Macaca fascicularis: one gene and its partners. The protein of the gene in region 1 purifies or fractionates together with the protein of each later gene. This does not show direct contact. Links are inferred from orthologs where the notes say so. Each region holds a gene or a part of one and is shown on either strand. Other genes may lie near its edges.

The links.
Region 2: the proteins of PARD3 (region 1) and RASSF8 purify together in Homo sapiens (affinity purification with mass spectrometry; 4 studies listed by BioGRID and IntAct, counting the BioPlex papers as one, with this or other methods). This does not show direct contact. The link is inferred for Macaca fascicularis from reciprocal best matches to the Homo sapiens genes PARD3 and RASSF8.
Region 3: the proteins of PARD3 (region 1) and PARD6B purify together in Homo sapiens (affinity purification with mass spectrometry; 5 studies listed by BioGRID and IntAct, counting the BioPlex papers as one, with this or other methods). This does not show direct contact. The link is inferred for Macaca fascicularis from reciprocal best matches to the Homo sapiens genes PARD3 and PARD6B.
Region 4: the proteins of PARD3 (region 1) and PRKCI purify together in Homo sapiens (affinity purification with western blotting; 5 studies listed by BioGRID and IntAct, with this or other methods). This does not show direct contact. The link is inferred for Macaca fascicularis from reciprocal best matches to the Homo sapiens genes PARD3 and PRKCI.

What each region holds. Positions count from the first base shown.
Region 1 is NC_088383.1:35,134,211-35,137,880, forward strand, and holds part of PARD3 (partitioning defective 3 homolog), read right to left. Parts: intron 1,904-3,670; coding exon 1,778-1,903; intron 624-1,777; coding exon 241-623; intron 1-240. UniProt on the Homo sapiens protein: Adapter protein involved in asymmetrical cell division and cell polarization processes. Seems to play a central role in the formation of epithelial tight junctions. Targets the phosphatase PTEN to cell junctions.
Region 2 is NC_088385.1:28,797,036-28,800,705, forward strand, and holds part of RASSF8 (ras association domain-containing protein 8), read left to right. Parts: intron 1-3,476; coding exon 3,477-3,670.
Region 3 is NC_088384.1:106,853,039-106,855,713, forward strand, and holds part of PARD6B (partitioning defective 6 homolog beta), read left to right. Parts: intron 1-910; coding exon 911-1,740; 3' UTR 1,741-2,675. UniProt on the Homo sapiens protein: Adapter protein involved in asymmetrical cell division and cell polarization processes. Probably involved in formation of epithelial tight junctions.
Region 4 is NC_088376.1:81,805,402-81,809,071, forward strand, and holds part of PRKCI (protein kinase C iota type), read left to right. Parts: intron 1-299; coding exon 300-389; intron 390-2,009; coding exon 2,010-2,125; intron 2,126-3,670.

The DNA.
Region 1 (3,670 bases):
ACTTTTACATTTTAATTTCTACAGAGCAAAATAAACCTGAGACATATAAGAAATACAATTTTAAACGTGTTAAAAGGTAAGTAGCTTTTAAAAATCTATCAATTCTTTCACAAAATAATGAGATAAGACTTAGGGTGCTTTGGGTTAGTAGGTTGACTTTTAAAATAAATTCCATTTCAACCCTTGTGTGTTGCTACTAAGAAAAGAAATTCCACAAAACAAAAACAAGATAGGTTATACCTTTCTTAAGCTGGATATTAAGCCTCTTGCCTATTTTTTTGGTGTTATAACCACTGCTTACAGTCGCACTAAATACATTCTGAGGTGCCGAGGCTGGAGCGGATGGTGGTTTTCCCGAGGGGTGTGCGCTATGAGGTAGTCGTGAGTGAGAGTCTATCTGCTCAGGCGGGTGGTTCAGTCGGGGTGCTCTCTGCACCGTGTGAAGCCCTGCACTGTTCACACTCCTGTTGTCAATATACTGGCTGTCAGGGCTAAAACGGCTTGAATAGTAATTGTTCTTCTCACTTTGAGATAGTTGTTCATACTGTTCTTTATTTGCTGCAGGAACCACATGGAACCAAATGATGGGTGTACGCATGGCTTGGCGAAACATATGTTGTGCTCTGGGTTTGAGAAAGAATAGAAAATTAGCAAATTAAGACTGGCAGACTAGAAGATATTATGAGCTTAATTAAGTATACTAATTAAGCAATAAGAACTGACAGGCTGTTGAAATTGAAAAGCAAAATTCTAATAACCCATTTATCAATCAAGTTTGTAGCTCTGATCTACGAATAGCTGTTTCTTCAAATATAAATTTCTCTTTCTCTCAATAAAAATAAAAAAATTATCTACAACTACAGAAAAAATTCTGTTCTCTCAATTGTAAATCATTAAACATGTTTTAAGTACAATAGAGGTATTATAATTTCAATAATAGAAACCAAATGGAACCTTCTCTTTACAACATTGTCTAATACAACTTGTAGACATTACAAAATATTTCCATTTAAGTTTTCAAAGAAAGAGCTTTATAATTATATATAGAATCTTGGATTGGGTTAGATGTGTATTTAAAATTTTTAAAATACACACACGCACACTTAGAAGGCTATAGAAAGTAACTATTAATTATCTATTAAGTTGATATATGCAAAAATCTCAAGAACAGCAATCCAGGCTCAATAATTCAAAATGCTGACAGCTGTGGGTCACAGTGCAACCATATGACCAGCCTGGGAAGCAGCTCTTTCTCATGCTGGTTCCCTGGTCAGGACCCCAAGTTCTTAAGAGTTCTGTTTGCTCCTGCCTTGTTTTATAAGAACTGGCCAACTTTTATGTTTTTCATTGACTAAGGGCCTGAATCAAGATAAAGTATATCTGAATACAACCCAATATTGAGGTGCAAACGAGCTTTATCTGCCTGTTTGTATCTAGAGAAATTGTGTGCAGCAAAGGTGGATGGGTGAATTAAAGTATGATAAAAATGGGCACACTGTCAATTTTCCAAAAGGGGAGGAACCAGCAAAACTGTAAAGCTGAAACGGGGGCTATGCTACTTAAGAAGAGCTATATCCATCAGAGGACATTTTGAAATATAGTCTAATGGTATTAATTACTTTGAGTATGATTAAATTTTTAAAAGCTAATGGCAGAAAATATTCCTGTCTAGTATACAGACTGAGATCACAGATATGTTGTTTGAAGCATTTCAACTGACTGCACTCTGTCATGCCTAATGCAAGTAAGAAGAGAAATGCAGCGAGCACACACTTACTGTTCAAATCTTCTATTTCGAAGGTCGCCATCATTAATCCTGACAATGCAATCATTCTCATGAAAAAGATTTTCATGTTCAGCTTTACCACCTTTCTCCAATCGTTTTACTAATAACCCCAGGGTTCTGGAACATTAAGAATGCAAATGATTACACATGTAATATCTCCACCATGCACACTGCCCTACCACTTTAATGCTGATATTATATTTACAAAGACTTCCTTACAAAGAAGCATGTCAAAATCACTATTCATACATTTTTAAATAACAGACAAAAATCACAACAGTTTAAATGATATGTAAAAATGCATCCCTTCCATAAATGCGAAAAATCATTTTCTGGCTGGTCAGTATTATGTTTCGAGAACAAGCTATAACACTCTCTCTGTTTACAAATGCCCCAAACAGAGCTCGCCTAATGGTTGAGTGGGTATTGCAGTGTGGAGCATGGATAAGCATGTATTTTTGAATGACTTGGGCAATTTTCTGTTTTAAGCCAGCTGGTATGCTAGCTTAAAAAACGACTGCAACCCCCATCTTTCTGTGAAAATAAAGGTAATGAGGAAAAGCTAACCTCATTGCACTGCAGGTTTGAGAATGATAATAGGAAAGATTTCAGAAATAAAAGAGTTTCTGTGCTTTGCATTTGAATTTGATAGTGCTTAGTATTGTGAATTTCAAAACCTGTTAGGTCTCCTAAAAGTAAGTCATTTATTGTCAATATTCCCATTTGGAAAAACAAATGACCAAACAGAAAAACAGCAGTGAGAGGTTCAAATAATGCCAATCGCCATTCATCTCTTTCATATATGTACTCACTCAGGTTGAAAGAAAAGTGTGAATGACCTTTGAGAGACTCCCTACTTGCTCTAGAACACTAACTTCATAACTCACAGGACATTCAATACAGACTGGGACAAATAGGAAATACTTCTTTAAATCACAGTATAAGCAACAGGGGTCTTAACCTAGCTCGGATTGTTGTTATTTTTTTACTCTTACTTTTTTTTGAGATGGAGTTTCATTCTTGTCATCCAGGCTGTAGTGCAATGGCATGGTCTTGGCTCACTGCAACCTCCACCTCCTGGGTTCAAGTGATTCTCCTGCCTCAGCCTCCCAAGTAGCTGGGATCATAGGCATGCGCCACCACGTCCGGCTAATTTTTTTGTATTTTTAGTAGAGCCGGGGTTTCACCATGTTGGCCAGGCTGGTCTCAAACTCCTGACCTCAGGTAATCCACCCACCTCAGCCTCCCAAAGTGCTGGGATTACAGGCATGAGGCACCGCACCCGGCCTGACTGCTGTTAATTACTTGGTGGCTGGCATAAATTTTGTATCATGATATTAAAATTTTTATATGAACTTATTTTTTGTACTTCCAAAATTTGTATTTTCCTTCATAATCCTAATAAAGAGACAAAAATGCCTAGACAGGCACTAAAATTGAGAATTCTGCATAAATTAATATTGAAGACATCCTAATTTTCAAATAACATCTATATGATTTCCAAGAGAATTACAACTTGCAGTCATCTGTGTATGTTTTCCAGTAGAAATATACCAAAATAGATAGCTGCTGCTTCTATACTTTTCCAGTAATTGTTGTATCTGTTCCATGGGCATTTATCATATTCTTCTGTTATATACATACCTTATCTCTACTAGTGCATTGTAAGCTCCTAGCAGAGAACATAAGATTCAGCAGTTCAAGCACTGAACTAGTAGTAAGGTCTTGATAAATGACAACTGAATGAAGGCATGATTGAGTTTAGCTGAGGCAAACAAGTCTATTTCTAACAAGCTTTTTGCAAAACAAAATACAAGTGAACAGAATTTAGATTCAGACAATTTCTTCACGAAAGTATCATTTCTACTAAAGATATGACGAAAC
Region 2 (3,670 bases), on another chromosome or scaffold:
AAAACTTAGCCGGGCGAGGTGGCAGGCGCCTGTAGTCCCAGCTACTCGGGAGGCTGAGGCAGGAGAATGGCGTAAACCCGGGAGGCGGAGCTTGCAGTGAGCTGAGATCTGGCCACTGCACTCCAGCCTGGGTGACAGAGCGAGACTCCGTCTCAAAAAAAAAAAAAAAAAAAATGGTTGAATTCAGGGCATAAATTTCTGAGTGACCCTTGTTTGAGTTTTGGTGTGTATTTTCAACAATGTTATGTTACTTCATAGTTGTGTATTCTGCTTTCTTAAGTGAAAGTAAGCTGTTATCCTGTTTTCTTTTAATTTATGTCAATCATTCAGTAAGATTTCATTAATGCATTAAAATCTGTATGTGAGTTTCTTCAGTATATAAATTTAATGATTCTTGGGATTAGTCTCAGTCGCTTCAGTATTTAAAAGTATAATTAATATTTTTTTACCCCATGTTGGATCAAAATTACTTGACAGTGTCACACAGTCCTACAATGCAAATACAGCTTAAACTACAAATGCCATAGATAGATAGACAGATAGATATTCCTTTTTATTCATTTTAAGATTACATCAAAATAGTACACAAGGTATAACTAAATGTATCCATGTGGTCAAATACACTAAAAGGAGTTTTGCAGGAGGAATCAGAATCTGTGTAAATGAAGGAAATAGAGTTTGTAGAGCACTGCCAAGTTATGGGTATTAAAAACAGTGATTATGGAATTTAATTCCTATATAAAATATTTAAAACCCAATTTATATAATAAAATCAAATCTATTCATTTACCTTTTTTTAAAAAAAAAGCTTTTTTATACTGCTGGATGGAATTTTTGGCCCAGTAGTACTAAATGTGCATTATTTAGCAAAAGCAAATACTGGCAGTAAAAGCAATTATAAATAATCTTCTACTAAGACAATCTCAGAGGGTAGCAGTACCAGTAAGCTCTGGAAAATTAGATTTATTTTTAATTATGAATAAATTAGGATCTTTAAAATTTTTTGTTTAGTTCATATAATGTGATGATTCAGTTTTCCTTTTAAAGATACTTCACTGGGCTGATAGAATTGGAAAGAACTCTGCTGGTTTATCTAACCCCTCCTGTTAATGAAGGAGGACACAGAGGTTCAGAGAAGAGTAAGATTCCTAAAAGTAGTTGATAGGCAGAGTGTTGTGACCTTTGAAGCAGTTTGTACACATGGGACAGTTTTAATATTGCAGATGTGTCGTGTGGTTTTTCTTTGGGAGCAATTAGAGTAATTTTTAACTGAAAATTATTGGAAACATTTTTTTATTTCAAGAAGCTAATCTATTGTGCTAAGGTTTTCCTTTACATCCCCTTTATTAGCCTGGGCATTTTGATAAACAAATAATATTATCTAGCACTTTTCAATTTCACAAACATTTTTATATTTTACATTCTCACGTGACTCTCAGAACAACCTTGTCAGATAAGGAAATACTACTCTTATTCCACAGATGAGGAGACTGAGGCTAAAGGAAATTTAATTGTTCAGATCATGTAAGCACAGTAGGAAGCAGAGCCACATTTGAACCCAAACCTTTCTACTCCAGAACCCTTGTCCCATCTACTGTGTCTAGCTTTACATGGTTGGAAGAGTTGCTTTTTAAAAGTCAGGTTGTTGGGCAAGGGAGGGGAAAAGAAAAAAAAATAAATAAATGGATAAATAAATAAATAAATAAGAGATTATTGTGATGGCACATCACTATTTAAAGGAATTCTGTGGTCAACCCTTTTGTTACAGGAAAAATGTCTTAATAGCTACCACGTGTTGAATGCCGGCTGTGGGCCAGGCAGTGTGGTAGGTGCTAACCCTCAGAATCTGCGAAGCATTTTAGAAGGGAAGTTGTGCTGCTTATCTAGTAAGGAACTCACGTAGGATTATTTGCCTTCAAAGCCCCAACTTCCAGCTGCACCCCAAATTCAGGTCTCCCTAAAGGAGAACACACCCATATGCTTATAGCGAAATCATTGTTTAATGTGCTACTTATGAATTGCATACATGGGTGTTGATATTTATACATCTAGATTTCCATTTATTGATGCAGTAATTGCAAAAATACTACTATTGGCTCAGAAGCTCATGAAATTTAAAAAAGAAAGCCAGGAAGGTAAATCAATAGCTGTTTATACAAGTATAATTGCTGGATGGCAGCGTTGGTTTTTTTTTTTTTCTTTGTAATTAACTATGTACGCTTTTCACAAAATTTAAATAATCCATCTGACCCACTCACCTTAAATGAAAATAAGAAGCATGTTCAAGCTTATGGCATTACACTCATACTCTTCTGAAACTTCATCTTTCATAATTATTAGATTCAGTATATTTTTCAATTTATATGTGATTGTATTCTGTTTTTGTTTTGTGTTGACAGAGTCTTACTCTGTCGCCCAGGCTGGAGGTCAGTGACACTATACAGCTCACTGAAGCCTTGACCTCCCAGGATCAGGCGATTCTCCCATTTCACCCTCTCAGGTAGCTAGGACTACAGACGCACAGCACCATGCCCAGCTAATTTTTTCATATTTTATTTGTAGAGATAGGGTTTCACCATGTTGCCCAGGCTGGTCTCGAACTCCTGGGCTCAAGAAATCTGCCCACCTTTGCCTCCCAAAATGCTGGTATTACAGGCGTGAGCCACTGCACCCAGCCTGCTGGTTGGTTTTTAATAATATTTTGCTCTGAGTTTTTTTTTTTTTTTTTTAGAAGAATCTTTGATACTATCATATTACCAAAACTGAACAAGTCTTCTTTTCAGGCCCCTGTTTTTATATGAATTTGGTTTGAAGAGTTTTTTCATCAAACTGATTTTTTATTTGTCATGGGTGTCCAGGAAGATGTCAGCTGTGTGAGCAACGGGTTGGTAGAGCACTCAGGTGGAGATGGAGAGGAGACCTGGGCAGCTCCTGTGGCTGAGTCACAGATTCTCCACTGGTCCCCATGTCTCCTTTGAGGAGGAGAAATAGGGCCTCCAGCCCTCCCAAGTTCTGAGGTAGAAAAATTCAAGGGATTTGCACAGTGGGAATGTATTTGAGTTTTGAAGTTCCACCTCGTTCCTGGACTAGCCCCTCATGCTTCACATGGCGATTCTATTGTCCTTTGTTTCAGCTAGAAAATAAACTTTGTTCAGTCTCGCCCCAAATGAGAAGTTCTAGGCAGTCAGGTATTTGGCAAGAGTGTAAGGGTCTCACCCAGGTTTAAAGTATAAAGTTGAATTTCTAAGCAAGCCTGAAGAGTATGTGCAATACACATCTTCTGATTTTATGTTGTTGCATGTCGTGAGGGGTTTGGTGTCTTCAAGTAAAGGTTTTAAAGGCAACCTGGACTAGACTCTAAAACTTGACCCTCTGATGCTAATCAAAAATACGCAATCATCAAATGGCATTCTTACTCTATTTTTAAACTATTACATATCCCATTTTGACAACTTATTCTTACCTTTTTTACATAGGTCGAACTGGAAGGTACACCCTTATAGAGAAATGGAGAGATACCGAAAGACACTTAGCACCTCATGAAAATCCTATCATATCCTTAAACAAATGGGGGCAGTATGCTAGTGATGTGCAGCTCATTCTACGGCGAACCGGGCCGTCGCTCAGTGAGCGACCCACTTCAGACAGTGTGGCTCGAATTCCTGAAAGA
Region 3 (2,675 bases), on another chromosome or scaffold:
GGCAGGAGAATGGCGTGAACCTGGGAAGCGGAGCTTGCAGTGAGCTGAGATCCGGCCACTGCACTCCAGCCTGGGCAACAGAGCAAGACTCTGTCTCAAAAAAAAAAAAAAAAAAACTGGTTTAAAATCATGTTTTAAGGCCAGACACAGTAGCTCTCACCTGTACTCCTAGCACATTGAGAGGCCGAGGCAAGAGGATCTCCTGAGGCCAGGAGTTCAAAACCAGCCTGGGCAACACAGCAAGACCCTATTTTAAAAAAAGGAAAAATACATATATATTTAATGATGTTTAAGAATATGTAAGATCTGGCTAGGTGCGGTGGCTCACGCCTGTAATTCCAGCACTTCGGGAGGCCGAGGTGGGCGGATCACGAGGTCAGGAGATCGAGACCATCCTGGCTAACACGGTGAAACCCTGTCTGTACTAAAAATACAAAAAAAATTAGCCAGGCCTGGTAACACACACCTGTAGTTCCAGCTACTCGGGAGGGTGAGGCAGGAGAATTGCTTGAACCCAGGAGGCAGAGGTTGCTGTGAGCCAAGGTCACGCCACTGCAGTCAGCCTGGGCGACAGAGCGAGACCATCTCAAAGAAAAAAAAAAAGAATACGTAAGATCTATCATAATTTCATTTGCCATATTTAATGTTTAATAGTGATTGAGCTCTATCAAATTTAACTTCAACATTGGTTTATTTTGTGATGTGTATTTGAGATGGCCACCTAGTGGTTTTTTCTGGTATGGCATTTTACTACTGTACTAGATTATGATCTGATTAGCAAATAAGCTTATTAGCTAGTTTGTTTATATACCAAATATATTTTGAGTTATCCTTTCTGTACAGATTCTGCCGCAAGTGAATAGATATTTTTACAGCATTTCTATAATTATTTTGTTTTATTTTTAAACAGAAGAAGCAGACTACAGTGCCTTTGGTACAGACACGCTAATAAAGAAGAAGAATGTTTTAACCAACGTATTGCGTCCTGACAACCATAGAAAAAAGCCACATATAGTCATTAGTATGCCCCAAGACTTTAGACCTGTGTCTTCTATTATAGACGTGGATATTCTTCCAGAAACACATCGTAGGGTACGTCTTTACAAATATGGCACTGAGAAACCCCTAGGATTCTACATCCGGGATGGCTCCAGTGTCAGGGTAACACCACATGGCTTGGAAAAGGTTCCAGGGATCTTTATATCCAGGCTTGTCCCAGGAGGTCTGGCTCAAAGTACAGGACTATTAGCTGTTAATGATGAAGTTTTAGAAGTTAATGGCATAGAAGTTTCAGGGAAGAGCCTTGATCAAGTAACAGACATGATGATTGCAAATAGCCGTAACCTCATCATAACAGTGAGACCGGCAAACCAGAGGAATAATGTTGTGAGGAACAGTCGGACTTCTGGCAGTTCTGGCCAGTCTACCGATAATAGCCTTCTTGGCTCCCCACAGCACATTGAACCAAGCTGTGAGCCAGAGGATGAAGACAGCGATGAAGATGACATTATCATTGAAGACAATGGAGTGCCACAGCAGATTCCAAAAGCTGTTCCTAATACCGAGAGCCTGGAGTCATTAACACAGATAGAGCTAAGCTTTGAGTCTGGACAGAATGGCTTTATTCCCTCTAATGAAGTGAGCTTAGCACCCATAGCAAGTGGCTCAAACACGGAATTTGAAACACATGCTCCAGATCAAAAACTCTTAGAAGAAGATGGAACAATCATAACATTATGAAACCATTGTTTGAATGTTTTCAGAGTGAGGATGCCATGAGAACTTGTACATTTGGCTAGTTTAAAAGCATATATACCTCTGACCAGTGACGTGGAATAGGCATGAGACGAGTAACGTTGCAAGCTTACAATATTATTAAAGTAGTAGTCTGATAATTGTTAATATAAACTTTGGTGGATCAGAGGTGAATTTAAGTCCAAAACAAAGGGGCCTTTGCTGATGAAGTTACGTGCTTTTACTTTTTTGTCTGTGGAGAATCAGATGTTAAAGCACATTCTTGGAACTATGCGAGAAGACTAGATCATTTCTGTTGGAAGTGGTTGCATATTTAACCTGCTGTGCAGAGCCCAGTTAATTTTTCCTTTAACTGTATTTTTAAAATTCTAATGTGAAGTCTGATTCTCTCTTTTGGTACACTGGGGACCTCAGCTCTTAAAGGTCTTATGTTCCCAATATTTTATTTTATTTTTTATTTTTTATTTTTTTAGTGACTGGATCTCACTCTGTTGCCCAAGCTGGAGTGCAGTGGCATGATCACAGCTCACTGCAGCCTCAACCTCCTGGGCTCAAGCAATCCTCCCACTTCAGCCTCCTGAGTAGCTGGGACCACAGGCACGTACCATGACACCTGGCTACTTTTTGTATTTTTTGTAGAGACAGAGTTTTGCCATGTTGCCCAAGCTGGTCTTGAACTCCTGGGCTCAAGCAGTCCTGCCTCGGCTTCCCAAAGTGCTAGGATTACAGCCACCATGCCAAGCCTATTTTGATTTTTGTTTTTTTAATGTTCCTCTCTAATAAATTGTAACAAATGATGTTCTCAAGTGCATTTCCAGTTTCTAAGAATCAAACCACGTGGCTGTTTTTAGGAGTTGCTTCCCATGTTATAAAGCTCAGGAAGCTCTCTTTTTTTTTTTTTTTTGTCTCTGTCGCCCAGG
Region 4 (3,670 bases), on another chromosome or scaffold:
GCTGCTCAAATGATTCTGCTGTTCTCTTTTTCCTCCTATTTTTCTTTAGCAAGGAATTGGTGATGATTCTCTGTTTTAATTACATGATAGGTGGAGAAAGTGCCACAAAGAAATCTTACCTATCACAAGCTTCAGATAATTCAATTTGTTCTGGAGTTGTACTTTCTAGAAATAAAAGGTAGACCATTCCAACTTCAGAAATAAGACTATCATGTGAGAGCACAAAATACAGATCACAAAGATGATTTATTTTAAAGCACGACATTCACCCAATTCTTGAAACATTTCTTTCACCATAGGACCCTAAGGAACGATTGGGTTGTCATCCTCAAACAGGATTTGCTGATATTCAGGGACACCCGTTCTTCCGAAATGTTGATTGGGATATGGTATGTAAATTTTGATTACTTTCTCTATTAGGTTTCATTATTATCTTCAGCCAAATCTTTTTTTTTTTTTTTTTTTAGGACAGAGTCTTGCTCTGTCACCCAGGCTGGCATGCAGTGGCACGATCTCGGCTCACTGCAACCTCTATCTCCCGGGTTCAAGCAGTTCTCCTGTCTCCGCCTCCCAAGTAGCTGGAATTACAGGCACGCACCACCACACCCGGCTAATTTTTGTATTTTTAGTAGAGATGGGGGGGTTTCACGATGTCGGCCAGGCTGGTCTCGAACTCCTGACATCAGGTGATCCACCCACCTTGGCCTCCCAAAGTGCTGGGATTACAGGTGTGAGCCACCGCACCTGGCCTATCTTGGGCCAAATTTTATTGTCTTAGCTAACATATCACAGCTTTAAAAACTTAAAACCACTTTCTAAACTGCTTTTTAGAAAACTTTTTAAACAAAAAAAATCCTTTTTTTAAAAATGTATTGTTTTTTCTGAGATGGAGTCACATTCTATTGCCCAGGTTGGAGCGCGATGGTGTGATCTCTGCTCACTGCAACCTCCGCCTCCTGGGTTCACGCAATTCTGCCTCAGCCTCCTAAGTAGCTGGGATTACAGGCACATGCCACCATGCCCAGCTAATTTTTATATTTTTAGTGGAGACAACGTTTCATCATGTTGGCCAGGCTGGTCTTGAACTCCAGACCTCAAGTGATCCACCTGCCTCAGCCTCCCAAAGTGTTGGGATTCCAGGGGTGAGCCACCGTGCCCAGCCAAAAAATTGAATATTAATGTAATAAAGCAGGTTATAATGTTATTGAAGCCCATATCAATGTTTATACTTGTTTTTGTTTGTTTGTTTGTTTGTTTGTTTTTTTAAGAGAAACAGTCTCACTCCATCGCCCAGGCTGTACTGTAGCTCACGACAGCCTTGATTGAACTCCTAGACTCAAGAGATCCTCCTGTGTTAACCTCTCAAGTAGCTGGGACTATAGGCATAAGCCATGGTACCCAGCTAATTTTCAATTTTTTTTTTTGGTTTGTTTTTTTTGAGGTGGAATCTTGCTCTGTCTCCCAGGCTGGAGTGTTGTGGCACAATCTCGGCTCACTGCAACCTTCGCCACCTAGGTTCAAGCAATTCTCCTGTCTCAGCCTCCAGAGTAGCTGGGATTATAGGTGCACGCCACCACGCCTGGCTAATTTCTGTATTTTTAGTAGAGACAGGGTTTTGCTATGTTGGCCAGACTGGTCTTGAATCCCTGACCTCAGGTGATTTACGCACCTTGGCCTCCCAAAGTGATGGGATTACAGGCATGAACTGCTGTGCCCAGCCAATTTTTAATTTTTTAATAGAGATGGGGTCTTGCTATATTGTCCGGGCTGGTCTTGAACTCCTGGCCTCAAGTGGTCCTCCCATCTCAACCTACCAAGCAGTTGGGATTATAGGCATGAGCCACCATGCCCAGCTCATATTTGTAAATTATGTTCATCATTGCTAATATCATTGTACCGTGCTTCAGGACTCACTTTAATAAGGGAAACAATGAGTGCAGAGGAGAACTGTAGAGGTGCAATTTTTCTAATAATACAGACTTGAGCTGTCATCCAATATGTCTTTTCAGATGGAGCAAAAACAGGTGGTACCTCCCTTTAAACCAAATATTTCTGGGGAATTTGGTTTGGACAACTTTGATTCTCAGTTTACCAATGAACCTGTCCAGCTCACTCCAGATGACGAGTAAGTAATTCTGTACACTGAAATTTTTTTTTAAGTTTTTTGGAAATCCCATTTTTAGTGACTATGCAATGTTTCATGATCAGATTATACTATTAATTTTTTTATTTTTTATTTTATTTCATTTTATTTTATTTTTGAGACAGAGTCTCGCTCTGTCTCCCAGGCTGGAGTGCAGTGGTGCAATCTTGGCTCACTGCAACCTCTGCCTCCCAGGTTCAAGTGATTCTCCTGCCTCAGCCACCCTGAGTAGCTGGGACTACAGGCTCATGCCACGACACCCAGCTAATTTTTATATTTTTAGTAAGGACGGCGTTTGCCATGTTGGCCAGGCTGATCCTGAACTCCTGACCTCAGGTGATCCACCCACCTTGGCCTCTTAAAGTGCTGGGATTACAGGCGTGAGCCACTGCGCCCGGCCTATACTATAATTTATATAACCATTCAGTTACTGGTATTTGAATCCACTGTACTATTATAAGTTTTAATAGTAACTGTCATTTTCTCCTTTGCTTTATCGTGCATTATCTCATTTTCACAACAACTTTGTAAACTAGTTAAATTGTCATCTTCATTTTACAGATGAGGAAACTGAGGCTCAGAGAGGTTAAGCAAAGTTACACAGCTATCAGGTGGTAGAGTCAGGATTCAAACCCAAATCTCTCTGTCCTGCTGCACTGTTTCCCATTTGACAAGGACTGTCTTTGTCTGTCTAAGTTCCTGAGTATTGCCTTAAGATAGATTCTTAGAAAGGGAATTAGGTCAGAGGGTATTAACATTTTAAAGCTCTTGATATGTATTGCCAAATTGCTTTTTTTAAGGAATTACATTGAGTTATTAAATCCAGCCAGCAGTGAGCTGATATATTTTTTTGTACTTATACTGCATCTTTTAAAAATATACCTTAAAATAATTGGGGGATATTTTGATTATTTACCTGTTGTTACAGATTCATTCTCTCTAATCTCAAGGAGGCCCTTATTGTTTGGCAGTCATTTTACTTCTATCTTATTTCTTACCACATTTCTCCCAGCACCTGCTCCAAACAGTCTCTTCATTTCAGAAGCCTTCAGTTCTACTCCTTTTTCCATCACTGTTAAAGGATTAACCTTGTCTTATTTTGATGCAAGGACTGATAACCTCTCTGGCGTGACCTTGCCTCCTTTCCAGCTGTCACCAGACCACCTTGCATCTCAGAATTGCTTTCTAATTCTTTTCAACATTTTCTTATTCCCTACTCTTGGAAGGCTCTCCTTTACAAGGAGCGTCCCTCCTATTTTCCTAGACCTGTTTCTGTAGTTTTCTCCAATATTTCATTTTGTCAGTTATCTTGTTATTGGACCTTCTTAGATTTATTTTTTTCTAGCTTGCTTCCCTCTGTGTAAGCATGCTCAGATTCTCTGATTTTTTCCCCCTAACTCATAGTCCCTCTTTGAACAACCACATTTTTCCTCATTTTCATTTCGTCTTGAAGCCTCAAAAAAAAAAAAAAACAAAAAAAAAAAAGTCAATAGATGTTCATGGTCAAAGAAAAATAAATATGCAGCA